Arabidopsis thaliana: one gene and its partners. The protein of the gene in region 3 interacts with the protein of the main gene of each other region in a pairwise test. Each region holds a gene or a part of one and is shown on either strand. Other genes may lie near its edges.

Region 1 (3,830 bases), on a different chromosome or scaffold from region 3:
TAGATACAACATTGAAATCAAAGGAAAGAGAGCGGTTGTTATCGGAAGGAGTAACATTGTCGGTATGCCAGCTGCTCTTTTACTGCAGGTAATGATGATGATACCTTCTTTAAGATGCCGTTTTTTCTGGTTGTGACATTCGAAAGTTAGTTACATGTTTGGTCTTTATTGTTGTGTTTTGTATTTGTAGAGGGAGGATGCAACCGTTAGCATTATCCATTCAAGAACCAAGAACCCTGAAGAAATCACAAGAGAAGCTGATATTATAATCTCAGCTGTTGGACAGCCAAACATGGTCAGAGGAAGCTGGATAAAACCGGGCGCAGTCCTCATCGATGTTGGGATTAATCCTGTTGAGGTGAGTGGAATTTTCTTTTTGACATATGGTCATGGCGTAATTCAGTGATATAATAAGTTTCAAATCAACCAGTATGCAACATTCATACATGTACATAATATGAATTGCAGGATCCAAGTGCTGCGCGTGGATATCGATTGGTTGGAGACATTTGCTACGAGGAGGCTAGCAAAGTTGCATCAGCCATCACACCTGTTCCTGGCGGTGTAGGACCAATGACCATAGCCATGCTTCTATCCAACACTTTAACATCAGCTAAGAGGATTCACAACTTCCAGTGACGTCACTTAAAAAGAAGATTGCTGGCCTTTTGGGAAACAAACAAATCGTACTCTGTTTTTTGAAGCCAATGATTTACTTTGGTCTTTAAAGAAAGTTATCGTTTTGTTCTATGAAACAAAACATGTAGTTTTTAAGTCACATAAATTGTCTTCAACATTGTTTGTCTCTTCTTGGTATTTTGAGTCAGAACTAGTTTTAACTTATCCCAGCTATGATATATCCCAGCCTCACCCATCGGTCTCTTCGTCATTATACTTTATTTATAACTACCTTTCAACGAAGGTTAATTTGAAACAAGAAAACACAGTCACTTGTTCTACATTACTTTTGTTAAACCCTAACTTGAGCTCGAAGCCACGACCACTGTTCTGTTTTCCTAGTAAAATAATGGCGTCGTTGATGTTAACCGATTGCTCCTTCTCCACGACCTCGCGTCTCATCGATTTGAACCGCCTCAACGGTGCTTTCCTGCCCCGCTGGTGCGTCAGCCAACTCAAGCTTTCCCACCACTGCGCCCGGACGTGGCCGCATGCGCTCCTCTTATACCACTGTGCCCGGACGTGGCCACATTCTCTCCATTCGCTCCTCTTGTATAGACTAAACCTTTTCATCCAATTGCTTACGTATTTTCAGATATCCAACTCTTAAGATTTTACTTTTCTGTTCAGCTGATGAGGCGATGGTATTTGATCAAACGGCTGTGGAACTAAGTATCATGCAGGAGATCAGAGTCGAAACTTCAAGAATGGAGAAACTAATCAGTCCTGGTTTAGCAGTAATCCTTTTTGGGGACAGAGAGTTCTCTGAAGAATATAAAGAAATTTAAACTCTAGCATCTTTGCTCCAAAAACAAACTCTATAGAGTTTAAATTTCTTTCTTCTTTTTTACAAAAGAGGGATTATAGTATTATACACCATAAACCCCGTAAAATTAAAAGAAGGTATTCAGTTACCAAAATCGGATTTAGTAGCATTTAGTTTTTTTGAATTTTAAATGTACACCATAAACCCCGTAAAATTAGTCAAAACAATTAATGTGATTTATGATAATTGTAATTAAATAAAAAAGATATTACTCGATTAGTAATTACTGATTAACTGAATCATTGATCTCATTAAACAATTAAAGAAAGATTACTCGATTAGTTAGCATTTAGTTTTAATTTTTTTAATATACTAAAAATACCAATCGGAAATTCAGTTACCAAAATTAGATTTATTAACATTTACTTTTTGAATTTTAGATGTACACCATAAACCCCGTAAAATTGGTCAAAGATTTATGATACTTGTAATTAAGGAAAGAACCAAATGCAATATATGGTTTCGGTGCAAAACCTTAAAACTGACCAACTTCTCAATTTTTTATTTAAAAACCCTACCAAATTTCTCTCTCGTTTCTCTCCGATGGCCAAGAACAAGACTTTGGTTACTCCATCAACGGTGAAGAAGTCATCTGACGTCGCATCTACGTCAAAGAAACTGTCGGGAGTCGCATCTCCAGCGAAGAAACCGTCGGGTGTCACATCTCCGGTCAAGAAGCCGTTGGAAGCCGTCGCATCAACTTCATCTGAGGAGGAGGAGGAAGATGAGCCTTCCAGCGATTCAGAGTCGGGATCGGAGAGTGAGTCTGACACTGAAGCTGAGCCGATGACTCTTGCTGCTGCTGCTCCTTCTTCTTCGAATGAGAAGAGACAAAGTGAAGGAAAACCAGAGGAGGAACGAGCCAAGACTGAAACAGAGACGGGGAAGAAGCCACTGTTGTTTCAGAGATTGTGGACTGATGAAGACGAGATCGTCTTTCTTCAAGGAATGATCAAATTTGCTAAGGATACAGGTAAGAATGTTTCCGAGGACATGAATGGCTTTTTCGAAAAACTTAAAGATTCGATTAGCTTTGAGGTGAAGACTGATCAGTTCGTTAACAAAATCCGGTCTATGAAGAGAAAGTATATTGAGAACAAGAAAACTACTACAGAGCATGATAAGAAGTGTTACGAATTGGCTGAGATAATTTGGGTAAGTGATGGTGATGCTACTGCTCTTGTGAAGCCAAAGAAGAAGAAGCTTAAGGTTGATGAAGAAAGTGATTGGTTCGAGAGGTCGTTTGTTGATGGTGCGTTTAAAGAATTGGGTCCGGGGGTTGATGAAGAGACATGGAAGAAGAATTGGAGTTTGGTACCGGTGAAGAAGAGGAAGAGGATAGAAGAAAAGGTGAAGTCCATGCAAGCTGATGAGCTCAAAACGACGTGGCAGAAGATTGACGTTGTGCATGAGATGAGATCTTTGATGGCTAAATATGTTTAGTCTTTATCTGTTTAGAGATGCATTTGCCTATGTTTTTCTTTTTGGTTTTGTGTTGGAACCTTTATGGCTTTCTCGTTTATTCATATGTTTTATGTTAAAGATGTTTTTTTGGATAACAAAAATAGGTGGTTTTTTGTTTGCATCTTAGTCTTCTTCCTTTGTTACTACAGACATGAAATCGTTAGATAATTATGATATGATATAAACTAATAATGATTCTAGGAGATAATTCCTAATGGATTTAAGATAAGTACATATCTTCTATATCTACCTTTACACACACGTTAACTTAGAAACAATCTACTTTGTTTTCTTCTGTTTGCCTAGTAAACAAATGGCGTCGATGATGTTTACTGATTGCTCCTCCTCCACAACGTCGCGTCTCATCCATTTATACAACCGCAATGGTGTTTTCCTCCCCCGCCCGAGCGTCAGCCAATTCAGCTTACGGACAACTGCGTCTACTTGGCGCTGCACTCTCTCCATTCGCTCCTCTTCTTCTCCATCTGCGATTGTAATTGATGGAAAGGCTGAGGCCAAAAAGATTAGAGATGATATCAAAATCGAAGTTTCAAGAATGAAGGAATCAATCGGTGTGGTTCCTGGTTTAGCAGTAATCCTTGTTGGAAAAGAACAAGGAATCCGCTACTTACGTGAGGAACAAGAAAATAGCTTGTGAATCCGTCGGAATTAAATCAGTCCAAGTTCGTCTAGCTGAAGATTCATCAGAAGAAGAGGTGTTGAAATATGTATCAGGATTCAATGATGATCCTTCTGTTCACGGAGTCCTTGTTCAGTTGCCTCTACCATCGGTAAACAAAGTCTATCTTCATATTCTTCATCATAACTTAAAATAAACAGTAAATTACAACGGTGTTTTGGG
Region 2 (7,021 bases), on a different chromosome or scaffold from region 3:
AAATTAGGTCTTCATAAATTATGAAGTTCAAATCAGAAACTCAAGATATCAAATGACATTGGCTGGTTTTCTAACTTATGGATGCTAATTTTTGGCTCTGCAAAACCTCATATGATGCAATGGACGGTCAAGTTTTAAGAAACTAATATGAAATTGGGATTTTGTTTTCTTTTATGAATTAAGGTTCAATTTGAGATATATATGATTGTTATAGTTTGAAGAAGTTGAAAGTTTTTTAATCTGTTTTAAAGAATATCACTTGGAGAGTGGAAGATATTCTTAAACTAACACTAACGTAAGATATAATTTGTTCAATAGAAAAAAGTGGTTATCCAAGCTACACAAACTTTTTAGACTTATTTCTCTCATTCTTCTAGAGATTTTTAATGAAATTTGTATATACTTGAAATGCATATAAAATAAATAAGAAAACAATATCTACTTAATGTCCTGTTCAAGAATTATTAAGAAATTTCACTACGTTGTTAAGTCCATTTTACTCCACCTTCTCCACTGGAGTTAGACTCTACTAAGTCGCGTTATCCTGCAGAGTAAAGATTGACTATGCATTGGACCTTGTCGATGTGAAAATGTTAAAAAGATAATTATTATGAAATCTCTACTATAACATATTTGGTTTCCTCAATTTTAAAATACCTATTTTTTTCTCAGTTTACCATTAACCAATCTATTCCGTGATATTTAATGTTTAAACCCTTCTTCAATTCTATTTAACCTACATTCTAAACAAGGTGTCCTCATTTTCAAAATCCTAAACTCATCTTCATCTATATTTCTATTTTCTGCCAAAATCATACCACAAAAAACATATACGAAAAATGACCACGGAAATTGTCTTTTATTGTTTATTTCCAAAGTCAACCAAGTTGACTGTTCTTTATATAATGATTTTTTTTTAAAAAATTATATATTGAGCTAAGAAAATATTAAGTGTAATTTTCAAAAAGAGAAAATATATTTATTATAAAAATCTATAGTGGTGGATCAAAATTCTGGTTTAAATTATTGTATCAATTTTGAGGTTCAAATTTTAGGATGGAAGAGAAACGTAGAATGCACTTAAAGTTCTGTCGATTTTTGTTAGTACATAATCCCTCATATAACCATACATATACTTATTGCAATAACCATACGTTAAGAATAGGGACCAACTTCATCGGTGCTTCTGTTAGACATTTCAAGAATGATATATCACATTCATGTATCTCCGTATATGTATTAAGACCAATGACTAAACTCAGCCATTGTAGATATAGTTCAGGTAAAACTGTCAATTGTGGATCAGTATGTTGAAAATTGTTAACTATGGTTCGCTTGTAACAGAATATAAATATAATAATAATATATAATACTAATAGTAATATATATAATAATAATAAAAAGCAAGCACTAATTATTTTATAGAAACACTTTAAAAAGTATTAAAATCTCATTTAAAACAACTCTCCAAGTTGGTAGTCCATTGATCTACAAGACAGCTCCACCTGAACCACATCCACAATGTAAAATTTAACCGTACACATAAACCATGATCATAAGATGCAACATGGTAAAATCTCTGGTGAAGTTTTCGTAATCGATGATGAATATATATATATATATATATATATATATATATATATATATATATATATATATATATATATATATACAATATATTTTTATTTTCAATCTATTTAGTAAGTACATATTTGTTATGAAAGTACAAAAATAACATTGTAATAGGTCAAGCTCTTTGTGGTGGTTTACATTGTAATAGGTCAAGCTCTTTATTATTATTTTACTATATGTATCTTCTTATCCATTCTTATATTTTATATCATATATGGTCAAAAGAACCAATCGTATCACAGCAGCATTTGTTAATAGAACTTTGATCTTGGTAATTACAGGTTCTATATTGAAATCGCAGGAGCCAAACCAGCAACTTGGGTTAATTATTAACTTCATTCACCAATAATAATAATTGATCGTCAAGACTATTTCGGACACAAAGACATAAATACTTGTTTTCTGCTCTCCCTTTCCCTAAATGTATCATTTGATACTTTCTCTTTTTCCCTCCATATGCCTTTTGTGTGTATAAATATATGTATATGAATAAGTTCACAAAAATAGAAAATTAAATCAAATCTTCGCGTAATTTCTCATCAAACTCCACTTTTCTTCTTTTTAAGAGAATCTAGGGTTTCTTCTACTACTTCTTCTTTCTTCTTTAGGTGGTCAAATTTCCAAGTTCTTCTTTTAGCTCTCTCTTTTGTTTCCAAGAAACCTGAGAAGAATTTTTGTAGATATGGGAAGAGGAAGGGTTCAGCTACGGCGGATCGAGAATAAGATAAGGAGACAAGTGACATTTTCAAAGCGAAGGACCGGTTTGGTAAAGAAAGCTCAAGAGATCTCAGTGTTATGTGATGCTGAAGTTGCTTTGATTGTTTTCTCCCCCAAAGGCAAACTCTTTGAGTACTCTGCTGGTTCCAGGTTTGAATCTTTCCTAAGCTAATTAATTTACCAACTTATTTTAAGATCGCATATTTATCTACATAAATATTAGCCTATATTTCATGTTTGACATATTGGGAAAAGTGGTATATATAGGTTTCACATAGAGGAGATTGATTTGAAATTGGCTGAGATTGTTTAATTAATTAAATCAGTTTATAGCCAATTTTGTTTAGTTCTTCCATCTCTAACTTAGAGAAGATCATAAAAAATGAATGATTGTACAATACTATATATTAAATCAAAAGAAGTGATTAATAGAGATGATCGCATCAAAAAATAATTGTGAGACATAACAGTTCCACAGATTATATATTATCCAAAAAATATGATGGAAGAATGTGCTAATTGGGCAAACATGATTACGAAATAATATACGTATTAATATAATTTGATTCTTGAGGACATATGTATATATGTTGAACATATCATGAATAAAGAGAGATCTTTCATTTCATTGTTGTGTAAGTTTGTTCTTCAACGTTCTGGAGATAATTAAAACATGATCTACATAAGTTTAAAGAGATATTTAATACAAAGTGTACAAAAAAACTTTAGAATTAACACCTGCAGGCTTAGGATCAAACAAGTAGATCTAATGCTCAAAGTTAGCTTACTTTGGCACTCATAGGAGACTTCATTTTATTTATTTCAAGGAAAAATATAATAAATTCAAGGAAAACGAATTTTAAAAAGGGTTCTTGAATCAAAATAATTTTAATGTTCTTCTTTTGGAATAAATCTGCTATTTACATTTTACTTAAAAATAAAATTGAATGTTGACTAAAATAAAAATAAAATGTTGACTATAATACAAAATAATTTTGGTGGTTTTAACTAACTGAACATATTCTGGTAATAACAAAACATTATTTATCAGAGAATTTAATATAAAAGAAATGAACTGTAAATAATAGCAATTTAATTTTTGAAAAATAAATCCAATTTTAAGATGACGATTTTTTTTTTTTTAGTAATTGTCAAAACAGAACAGTAAAATACTAGGAGACATAATTTGTGATGACACCGTCTAAATTATCTCCAAGGTTCATGTAATATCTAATGCGGTATCATTGGATCAAAATGAACGACACACCAAAAGAAAAACAATTATCTCAATATACACAAACATACTAAAGAGGGACAAGAAATCTACTATAAATAGAAGAGTCAGCTTTCGATCATGATTGTAGTAACTAATAATAGTAAACATGAAACTTTGATTTGATTATGTTAAAATAAAAATTTAAGATATACAGCTAAAATCTTGTTGGAAATTGGAAGCATGACAAGCCTTTGTATAGAGCTTTGTGCATTGCTTTGTCTTTTGGTTGGCGGAACCTAGGACTAACCTCGATCGTCACATGAAAATATACAAACCCATGAAGCTACTTTTCTAGCTTGTAGGCTTAACTAGAATGTTCAAAAATGAATTTGCTTGCAAACATATTTTAACAAAATTTGAGTAGACTTGGTGTATCGATTGCTATAGTCTAATCAATACATTCAATTAATGTATCAAATTGTTTGCAAATGTAGATTAAAGTTCTCGATATAGAGCTTAAATTAATTTAGAAATGTTTCAACTAAAGTACAAAAATGATTATTCAATATCTTCAATGTATTTGTTGAGTGATGATAGTATATACATCGAGTGTTGATTGTTGTTTGATATACTATTTTTTTAGCATGGAGAGAATTCTTGATCGATATGAGAGGTCTGCCTACGCCGGTCAAGATATTCCTACACCAAATTTGGATTCACAGGTTCTTAAGCACATTTAAGACATATGAGTATATATATATGAATCATTGTTTATGGTATGTTTATGGTAAACTTAACTATCGTGTATCGATCTTTTTATCATTTGTAGGGAGAGTGCTCAACAGAATGTTCAAAGCTCTTGAGGATGATTGATGTCCTGCAAAGAAGCCTGAGGTAAGGACTTATTACTTACGTATCATCCAAACATAAAATACATACCTAAGATATCTAAATATGTACAAGATAAGAAATTGCATCTTTATCAAATTATAAGGCACTTAAGAGGAGAAGAGGTGGATGGTCTAAGTATCAGAGACCTTCAAGGTGTGGAGATGCAACTTGATACTGCCCTCAAGAAAACTCGCTCTAGAAAGGTTATTTATATGTATACAAAAACATTGTAGTATATTTTCTATACATGCATGGATCATTTGTATATACAAATGTGTATATCTAATAATGTGCAGTTTGTGTATGCATAAATATACACAGATATATAGATAAACTACACCTAATCATGTAGTAATTATTGTTTTGGTTTGGGAGCACAGAACCAGCTCATGGTAGAGTCCATAGCACAGCTTCAGAAAAAGGTAATACACTAATTAAGAGACTATCGTTGTTATGGTTGTGCCTAGGCCTGGACGTTTGAGTTTACGGGTCCGGTTTTAGTTTGGTTCTATTTTTTGGTTTTTGAGTTTAGGATCCATTCAAGTAATTGTTTTGGATATTGTTTCCACCTAACTTTTGGTATTTCGAGTATTTTTGGTTATTCGGTCTAAAAATAACTAATTATTTTAGGTGTATAAAATGTATTTCGATTCGCTGAATATTTCAGTCTGGTTCCCGTTCTTTCAGTTATGAAGTTATAATCCATTCGGATATTTACGAATTTTGGTTCGTTTTTCTATTAAGTTCCTCTCGGTTTGGTTAGAGTTTGGTTATTTTGCCTAGGACTACTTTTGCCATGCAAACTCATGTATCTGCCTGTCTTTTTTTTCTTTTCGGGTTTGTACAAAACATTATACTTATAGTAGATCTTCACAATTAGTAGTCTTTGATTTTGAGAAATAAACACAAATACATATACTAGATCTTGAATACTTGACTCGATATGAGTTAAACTAATAAATATGTGTCTTTTCTTTTGATGGCATAGGAGAAGGAACTAAAAGAACTGAAGAAACAGCTAACAAAGAAGGTGAAAGTGATGTTAGAATCTTTGACTATATATATAACCAGTTTCTTATAAAATGTAGAATTCACTTAACTTTTAAGAGAGATTAGTCTAGGCGCTAGTTTGAACTCTCTCAATCAAGTGTCGATTTTAAATTTATATTTGAATGTTAAGCAATCGGTGACTGGTAAATAGTAACTATAACAAGTATTGAATTTGGCAGGCTGGTGAAAGGGAAGACTTTCAAACGCAAAACCTCAGCCATGACTTAGCCTCCTTGGCAACACCGCCATTTGAATCACCCCATGAGCTTCGCCGGACAATATCTCCTCCTCCTCCTCCTTTATCTTCGGGGTACTTTAAAGTTTGATTTCACATAGCTACAAAGATAGTAAAAATATAAATGATAATTTGTTAGTGTTGATCAATGATAGTAAGGTAACATATTATAGTTTGTATCAATATTTATTTATCGTGTATATGAGATGAATTAATAAACTGCTTATAGGGATACATCACAAAGGGATGGAGTTGGAGAAGTAGCTGCCGGAACCCTAATTCGAAGGACGAATGCAACGTTGCCTCATTGGATGCCCCAGCTCACCGGAGAATAGAGGTCCGAAACAATCTTGGTTTTTTAATTTTCTGTACTTAATATATAGTACCGGAATAACTTCTTGAGTTAAGTAGAACCAATCCGAATAAAAGAAAATATCTTCTGGCTTGGCATTCTAGGAACAGGCTTAAGAGGCCCTCAAGTTTCAAACTTTGAACGAATTTAGAAACATTGTATGTCTAATGTGATTTTGTATATTGTATCTACGATTTTCACTTTACTGTTTGTGAAAAATGTAATTTCAGTGTAATGAAAAAGAAGAAAAGAACTATAAACTATATTTTTTATGACATATTAATTTCTATAGAAGGTAGGAGAAAACGTTTAATCTATTTTAGAAGCGTTTTGTAAACAGATTTTGCTAAAACAAAATACTTGACAATGTTTGGTAATTTTCTAAAAGTAATTACGATATTTTTTTCAAATAGTCTTGACTATTAAATATGCCATTCAAGAGTCGTCCTCACACTAAGCCGTGTGAACCAATTTACGACTCTGCCTCGCCACGCGATTCCTCCACGCCTTAGCATCGCCGGAGAAAGAAATATTGATTCTCTGCATTGAATTTCATTTTTTCCGGGAGATAGAAACATTTGTCATATGAAAAAGTGTGACTTAAAAACTATAGATTAAAGTATTTCATATACATAAGACGATGTCTTGGTTTAATTTAGACCTTTATGTTGCCATTTGTCCATTGTTATCTTTTATTTATCGATATATTATAGTTTGTCTTGAATAAATCAAACTTCGATATATTTCATTTTGTGTTTTTCCATTTGTCTAATTTATTTTTCTTTTATATATAAAAACTTTTCTTTTGGCCATGTAGCAAATATTGTTTTTTTGTTTATAGTGAATCTCATCACAATAAATAGCCATTTGTGAAAAGAAATCATATCTTCGTCTATGGTTTAAAATTTAAATGATAAACTTCAACAAA
Region 3 (3,241 bases):
ATGCACATATCTCCTATGACTCTGTTACTAAGAATTTGAGTGCGTCTTGGGCTTATGAATTAACCTCTGATCCTCAGGAGAGTTTAGGCATTTCCTATATCATTGATCTTGCAAAGGTTTTGCCACCACATGTTACGGTCGGGTTTTCAGCCGCTACTGGATCGGTCACAGAGGGACATAAGCTTTTATCATGGGAGTTCATCTCAAGTTTGGATATTGAGGTTTGTTTATAAGGATCTTGTTTTAGCTACCAACAGATTCTCAGCCCAGAGGAAGCTTGGTGAAGGAGGGTTTGGGGCAGTTTATAGATGGTACTTGAACGAAATAGATATGATGGTTGCTGTGAAGAAATTGTCTGGTGGTTCCAAGCAGTGAAAGAAAGAGTTTGTAACCGAAGTTAAGATCATTAGCAAACTGCGTCATCGAAACCTGGTGCAGCCCATTGTGTTGGTGTAATGAAAAAGATGAGTATTTGCTTATATAGGAGTTCATGCCGAATGGTAGCTTGGACACTCACCTCTTTGAGAAAAGACCCCTTATCTCACCTAGGACACACAGATCTTCACGGAGAGGGAGATCGGTGTGTGTTGCATAGGGACATCAAGGCAAGCAATATCATGTTGGACATCAATTTCAATGTAAAAGTAGGTGACTTTGGGCTGGCTCGATTGATGGACCATGAACTAGGCTCACATACAATAGCGCTAGCAGGAAATTACATAATTGTCAAAGACTTTTGTCTGTGTGTGGACATGTGTAGGGCAAGTGAACCACGTTTTATTGAAATTCAAATTCAAGATAATCCAATCAAGTTTGACAAAAGAGAAACAAAAAGATAGGGCAAAAAAAGCCAGCACTTAACTAGGATATGAAATCCAAAACATAAATAGTCAAAAACAGAAAAGAAGATAGGTGCAAGCGAGCTACACTGGAATCATTAATGGAAGTACTGAATACTGAAAATTCAAAACAACGAACTTGTTGTCCAAGTGACTCCAGTAGAGTTTCAGAACATCGCCTTCTGAGAGATCTAACGAATGCTTCATAGTACTCCAACCAGTACCGAAATAATATTTAGGTTTATCGATACCTGATACTTTGAGCGTAACTGTGTATAAGTCGTCTTCCATTATGTCGTCGACTTGCACTTCAACACCGTTTAGCAAATCTTGGTCGTTAACATTCATCCTCGTGAGGACAGACATCACTTCTGCTTTCGGTAATACCACATTACCAACGATATCACTCTTTGATAGCACTTTTGTTATGATCATAGCCGGTTCCAATGGATCGTTGTAATTCATCTTGCTTAATTTTTTTTATATTTCTTACGTTCTCTATTCAAACATATATATAGGAGATTTAGCCTAAGAAAAAAGGTAAAATACAAAAGAGAAAAAATCAGAACTCTTTTTGAAACAAATTAGAAAATTGTCTAAATATCTAGATTTCTCTTAATATGGAATTGGAAAGTAAACTTTTTGCAAAATATTAGATTTAGATAACTTTCACTTGGTAAATTGAGAATAAAGTTTTGTGCAAATTATTGATTTAGATCATTTCCATTTCTATTCTCAATCTCTTTTTGAGCGTTCCAACCAATTACATTGCTGCCCCGAACCAATATAATATTTACAATAGTATCATAGCCGGCTCCAATGGATCGTTGTAATCCATTATGGACCGCCCAACTTCAGCCCACAAAAGAAATTGTCCACACGAAAACGCTCAATAATCTATAAACGGACCATTTGACATATTTAAGTGTTTTGCAAGCCCAAAGTAATCATATTCACTCAACAAAAAGTATAAAAAATCTGAAATTTAATTTAGGTCGTTGCTAAGCTTGTTGTAGGGTACGTACGTTTGGGAGCATTTTAATTAGAATAAGATTAGAAATTTAGAATAGTTTTAATCCTCCGAAACTTTTTGTAGTACGGACTTTTGGGAGCATTTTTATGAGTCGTGCCAATCTTGCAAAAGGACCCATGCAGAGCAACAAATTTGGTTGTGGCATGTCGGTTAGGTAGCCCAAAAGCTTCATTTTATATTAGTTATAAACTTTGCTGTTATATAGTTAGTAAAGTTTAGTCAGTAAAGTAGACTGTTACTTCTTTTAGTACTTTGAATACATCTTATTTACTACAATGTTAACAGTCAACATGGTATAAATTCTATTCCATGTTTTGTTTCAAAGGTTGACATAACGGACGAATTTTAAAATGTAACTATTGTAATAAACAGTAATGAGTATTAACTTGAGTTACTCTATACAATTGTTTGTTTCTTGTGATAACCAAAGCCATCACAATCAAACATTTCACTCTTAAAACAAGGAAACAGTAAGTGCAATGGAAGGTAGGATCCAAGTGCTTCTCTCGCAACGATTGTTTGGTTGATTCTCGTAAAAATGTGAGTATATGAAAGAGGAAGTTAGACCGATGCAATGGTTGCAATGTGAGCATAGTCGAATTTCACCTGCCATGGTGTTTCTTCCTTTTTCATCTTCCCACCGGATTCACTCAAGGCTCGTCGTTTAATCCATTATCGCCTATGTAACCGTCGCTTCTTCACCTGCGGCCACAACCAATGCAACCGCTATAACAAGTTTGTTTTTGATCTCTTTATCGACCATTAAGTCTCTTTATATATTCCTTAAAACTCTATATTGCATTTTGATTTTCTAGTGCGTATAACATTGACGTTACAGTAAAAATTTCTAGTTTTAATATTCACAAGCATGGCTGCTATTTCAATTCAATATAAGTTTTATCATCGTCTACAATAATATATGAATTTTATCATCATATAGAAGAATAACAGAGCTCTGATCACAGACTCACAGCCCTGTAACTCTAGCTAACAAAATTATCTTTTAACTCTCTTCTTTATTAAAAAAAAAGCACTTGCATAGTAGCATTTTAACTGATGTATATGCTTTCCCTAAGCGACACTTGTCCTCATGCATGAAATCAAATTCAATGGACGACCGATTCATCTTGACCGACCACAAAGATCCAACGGCTAGCTGGAGATATACAGGTGTTAATAAATTGTTATATTCCAAAAAAATGGGTTATAATGTGGCAGCTTTTTGATAGTAACACTGATGTATTTCTTACAATAAACGACCAAAAAGTTAATACAAGAAATAGAAACGGTGTAGGAAGCTACTATGACGGCAATTCCAAACGTCGTCGATATTGAATCTTCTTCCTCTTCGCTTTGTCAAGAGACGGCA
Region 4 (3,784 bases), on a different chromosome or scaffold from region 3:
TATTTCTCAAGCTCTCAAAGACAAAACACTCTAAATTCTAAAGTCTCTCCTCTCTCTTGCTTCTTAGAAGTAAGTTCTTAGTTTAAAAACATCATACTGCTTAACATAGATAATTATATAGGTTAAACAAAAGCTCGATAAACGCATCAATGGCATCAACTTCCGATTCGGGCTACATCTCTATGGGGCTCACTCTAAAGATCGCGAATCAAGATCTAAACCTCGACGATTTTAAAGAATCCACCATCTTCTCATCTTCTGATCAAGCTTTCTCTAGATTTACTCATCATTTTCGGAGGATACGTCATCAATCGACTTCCCTCTTGGAAAGAACTTTTAAAATTGGGAAGACTGTGAAAAAGGGGATCGAAACCCTAAATTTTTATTAATTTGGGCATTTTGTTATAACCTATAGAAATATGTATGTTTCTGAGAACATATAAATAACTGCGAGCTAAGTCGGTAAAGGAAAGTTGTTATATCTCACAGGTTGCGGGTTCAATTCCTCAACTTGTAAAAAAAAAAAGAAATTGAAACGACGTTGTTTTATAAGTTAACAGAATTTATAACCGAAGACTTAATTCTGTTAATTTCCCGTAATTTTGGCTCGTTTAAGTCTTAAATAATATCTTATGACAAAAAAAAGACTTAATTCTGTTATTTTTTTCGTCAGTTGACGTAACGTTTTACCCGAAATGGCAAAATCAACGAAAGTTATCTATTTAATTCTAAAGTCAACAATAACTTTGGTATTTAAGTGACATTTCGAAAATTCATGTTTTTTTGTTCTAAATTTGAAAGTTCACATTTTTTTGACATATTTTCCAAAATTATCACATATATTGTATATTATTTATATATAAAAAACATTTCATTACGAAAATCCGATTGAAAAGATAACAAGATGGAGGACACAACTTCCTTCAAACTAAAGCAACCAAAATTTATTCCTTAAACTTTTGGAAAGAAAAATAAACGGTAATTGATTTATATGATATAAATAATTATATATTTATATTTATTTTGACGATTGTTCTAAATAGTTCCAAGAAATCCTGGGCCGAAAGCCCGAAACTCATACATTCCTTTGCTCTGTCCAGACGAATACTCGGTCCTCATCATCTTATTCTTTGTATTCTTTGAGAGTATCGATGGAGAAGACAAATCCTCCATCTCTACATGTTTCCTCTTTAAACCTGCTTGATAGGCCTCGAGTTTCGCCTTGAAAGCAACTAAGTCCTCCAATTTCAGATCTACATTCTCTTTCATATTGGACTTTTCAAGGTTTCTTTGCTGTTTCTTCCTCAAATCCTAAAATTGACAAAAAAAATATTATATAATATAAAATAAATAATGATTATTTAATTCTGTGTATAATAGCAAACCCATCTTTGTAATCTATATGTTGAGAACGAAGAAGAAGGAAAACTAACGGATGAGATTATATTAATGATGGGAAACATACCTCCTGAAACTCTTTGATTTGTTCCAATTCTTTCATGAGACTCCTGAGTTTGGACGAAGCACTAGGATTTTGAATACGCTCAACCACATCGTTGAAGCATGGATAACCGTATGTGTATGGTATATTAGTGGGGGAGATGACCAAGACAGCAATCTCTACATTACACAACTTCGCGAGTTCATCAGCCTTCTTAAAAATGCCATTTCGGCGTCTTGAAAACGTCGCTTTCCTTTCGATGCTATCTTCAATAAATTTTATCTCTATTTTTCTACGACCCATTTCTTAGTTTTAGAGAGATGTTTTTGTTGTTGGTGTTGTTTTTGTTACTACTCTACTCCATTTTATAGATGGATTGGTTCAAGTAGGTTTAACGCATTAATTATAATTTTTTATCTTTGTTATCCTTTTTTTATTAAAATATTTGAATTTACCTTTTAAATATATTTATCTTTTAACTACTACCATAAATATCTTTATAACTCTGACTACACAAATTTATCATAATAGTCAAGAGTTGGTATTCCAAACAAATTCTTAAGATATATTTTCTGAAGAAAGTATAAATTTTGTAATGCTTATCTTTCATTAGAAAATATTTAGGAAAAATACAAATTTTGTAATAATTATAAATTAGATTTAGTATCTCTACATATCATTCCATATATACAAATTTTATTTTAAAATGCAAACTCACACGCGTCAAACATGCGCACTAGCCACGACATATCAATAAAATGAAAATAAAAAACTGATGAAACTTGGTAACAACTTTTTCTAAATTAAAAGGAGTTTTTTATTTTATTATTTCATGTTTTGTTTTCACTCACACGGATCCGACAATAATCACTTCTCCTAAATTCACCCATCAAAAGACATAGGTGTCAAAATCAATTCTTTTAAACATTTCTACATGCATCACCATATTTCATGAAACTAAAGTGTTACAATTCATCCCTCTAGCAGATCGTATCGTCCTGGTTGCGCATCAAGACCGTCACAATCGACTTTGTTAACCCTCTTAACTCCACATTCGTCTGGGTTTGGCTCTGATACCGTTTGTAACTCCCCGACCTCCATCTTTCTTAGTGACCCCACGTCCTCTCTCGGCTCACGGGCTCACTCTTACCCGATAGCCGATCCATTACGTTTACGAGGCTTTAAAGGCTTGTTTACCGATCCTACATATCACCACATTATATTTTCTCGTGTTTTATCCTCGCTCATATACAGTTGCGACAATCACTTCTTGGAAGGTCATTCCCTGTAATTTTTCTAACTTAAGCACGCTTAATTATGAAGTTCTTTTCAGATGTTTGACTGAAAATAAGTGCAATTTGATGATATAGGTGGTCAAATCAAATTTTTAAAACTTCTCTGCATGCACCACCATATTTTGTGAAACCAGGGTGTTACAAAAGGTCAAATAAATTGATGTGGATATCGAATTAGAAGATTCCTCATGTGATGCACAAGATGTGTTGGATGGACCCACATCCAACTAGAAGATTCCTCACCCGATACACCAGAGGTGTTGGATGGATCTGTGATTCGACCATGCAATCGAAAACCCTAAAACAAGTTCAGTGCAAATCTAGAGACCCTATTTAACTCCATGGAATTTTAGCTGGAGCACCAACTTTCCGTACTGAGCTGTTTTTCAGCCGAAGACCCATGAAAAATATCTACATTAATCAACTCGACAACGAAACGTTAGAGGATATATTCAAAAATACTTTACCGGCAACATCAGTTAGCAATCTACGACAAATGACATGGCGATCCGAGACCAATGGACTAAGGCTTCAAAAATCATCGAAAATTCATGCATTGTAAAGGGAATAGTCTAACCGAAATCATGCATTATCAAACTCGTTTTGGAGATGAACAACATGAGCATTATGACAACCTTACATGTAGCCGATAACATGTCTTTTATTGAGTTAAAGTGCGTTTCAAGATTTTCTTTAATCCTTTACAGGTTTTAGATTGATATGGAGGAAAAAACATTTTGGGATGCAAACACGCATTTGGAGATGTGAGATCATGTATAAGGGTTTGGAGTTTCGCGTCATGTGGAAGATTTTCCACCGTTATATCTTCCTCATATTGTGATACAAGCTAGGTGATGATCTTTGCTTTTATTTCCAAGTGATTTGAAGAAAATCTAACAGTGAAATAAGACGTTATGGCCAATCTACTTAAGACATGTCAATCAGATGAAACTGGTGTGGAAACTGATCCAGACAATCAGAGACCGATAGGTCTATATATACTTGGGACCGATCAGTCCACCTTCATTTTTGAGTCGACCCTAGTAGG

What was found.
Region 1: the proteins of AT5G54067 (region 3) and AT4G00610 interact in a two-hybrid assay, tested with the Arabidopsis thaliana proteins (one large-scale study listed by BioGRID).
Region 2: the proteins of AT5G54067 (region 3) and AGL79 interact in a two-hybrid assay, tested with the Arabidopsis thaliana proteins (one large-scale study listed by BioGRID).
Region 4: the proteins of AT5G54067 (region 3) and AGL102 interact in a two-hybrid assay, tested with the Arabidopsis thaliana proteins (one large-scale study listed by BioGRID).

What each region holds. Positions count from the first base shown.
Region 1 is NC_003075.7:256,074-259,903, reverse strand, and holds AT4G00610 (DNA-binding storekeeper protein-related transcriptional regulator), read left to right. Parts: upstream 1-1,960; coding exon 1,961-2,947; downstream 2,948-3,830. Other genes in the region: EMB3127 (Amino acid dehydrogenase family protein), read left to right, coding at 1-88, 191-358, 469-639; AT4G00600 (Amino acid dehydrogenase family protein), read left to right, coding at 3,294-3,552, 3,662-3,759.
Region 2 is NC_003074.8:11,906,805-11,913,825, forward strand, and holds AGL79 (AGAMOUS-like 79), read left to right. Parts: upstream 1-2,065; 5' UTR 2,066-2,314; coding exon 2,315-2,499; intron 2,500-4,208; coding exon 4,209-4,287; intron 4,288-4,394; coding exon 4,395-4,459; intron 4,460-4,559; coding exon 4,560-4,659; intron 4,660-4,836; coding exon 4,837-4,878; intron 4,879-5,444; coding exon 5,445-5,486; intron 5,487-5,685; coding exon 5,686-5,816; intron 5,817-5,970; coding exon 5,971-6,076; 3' UTR 6,077-6,362; downstream 6,363-7,021.
Region 3 is NC_003076.8:21,940,843-21,944,083, forward strand, and holds AT5G54067 (B3 domain protein), read right to left. Parts: upstream 1,305-3,241; coding exon 924-1,304; 3' UTR 760-923; downstream 1-759. Other genes in the region: HSFA9 (heat shock transcription factor A9), read left to right, coding at 3,176-3,241.
Region 4 is NC_003070.9:17,570,411-17,574,194, reverse strand, and holds AGL102 (AGAMOUS-like 102), read right to left. Parts: upstream 1,782-3,784; 5' UTR 1,745-1,781; coding exon 1,466-1,744; intron 1,312-1,465; coding exon 1,036-1,311; 3' UTR 822-1,035; downstream 1-821.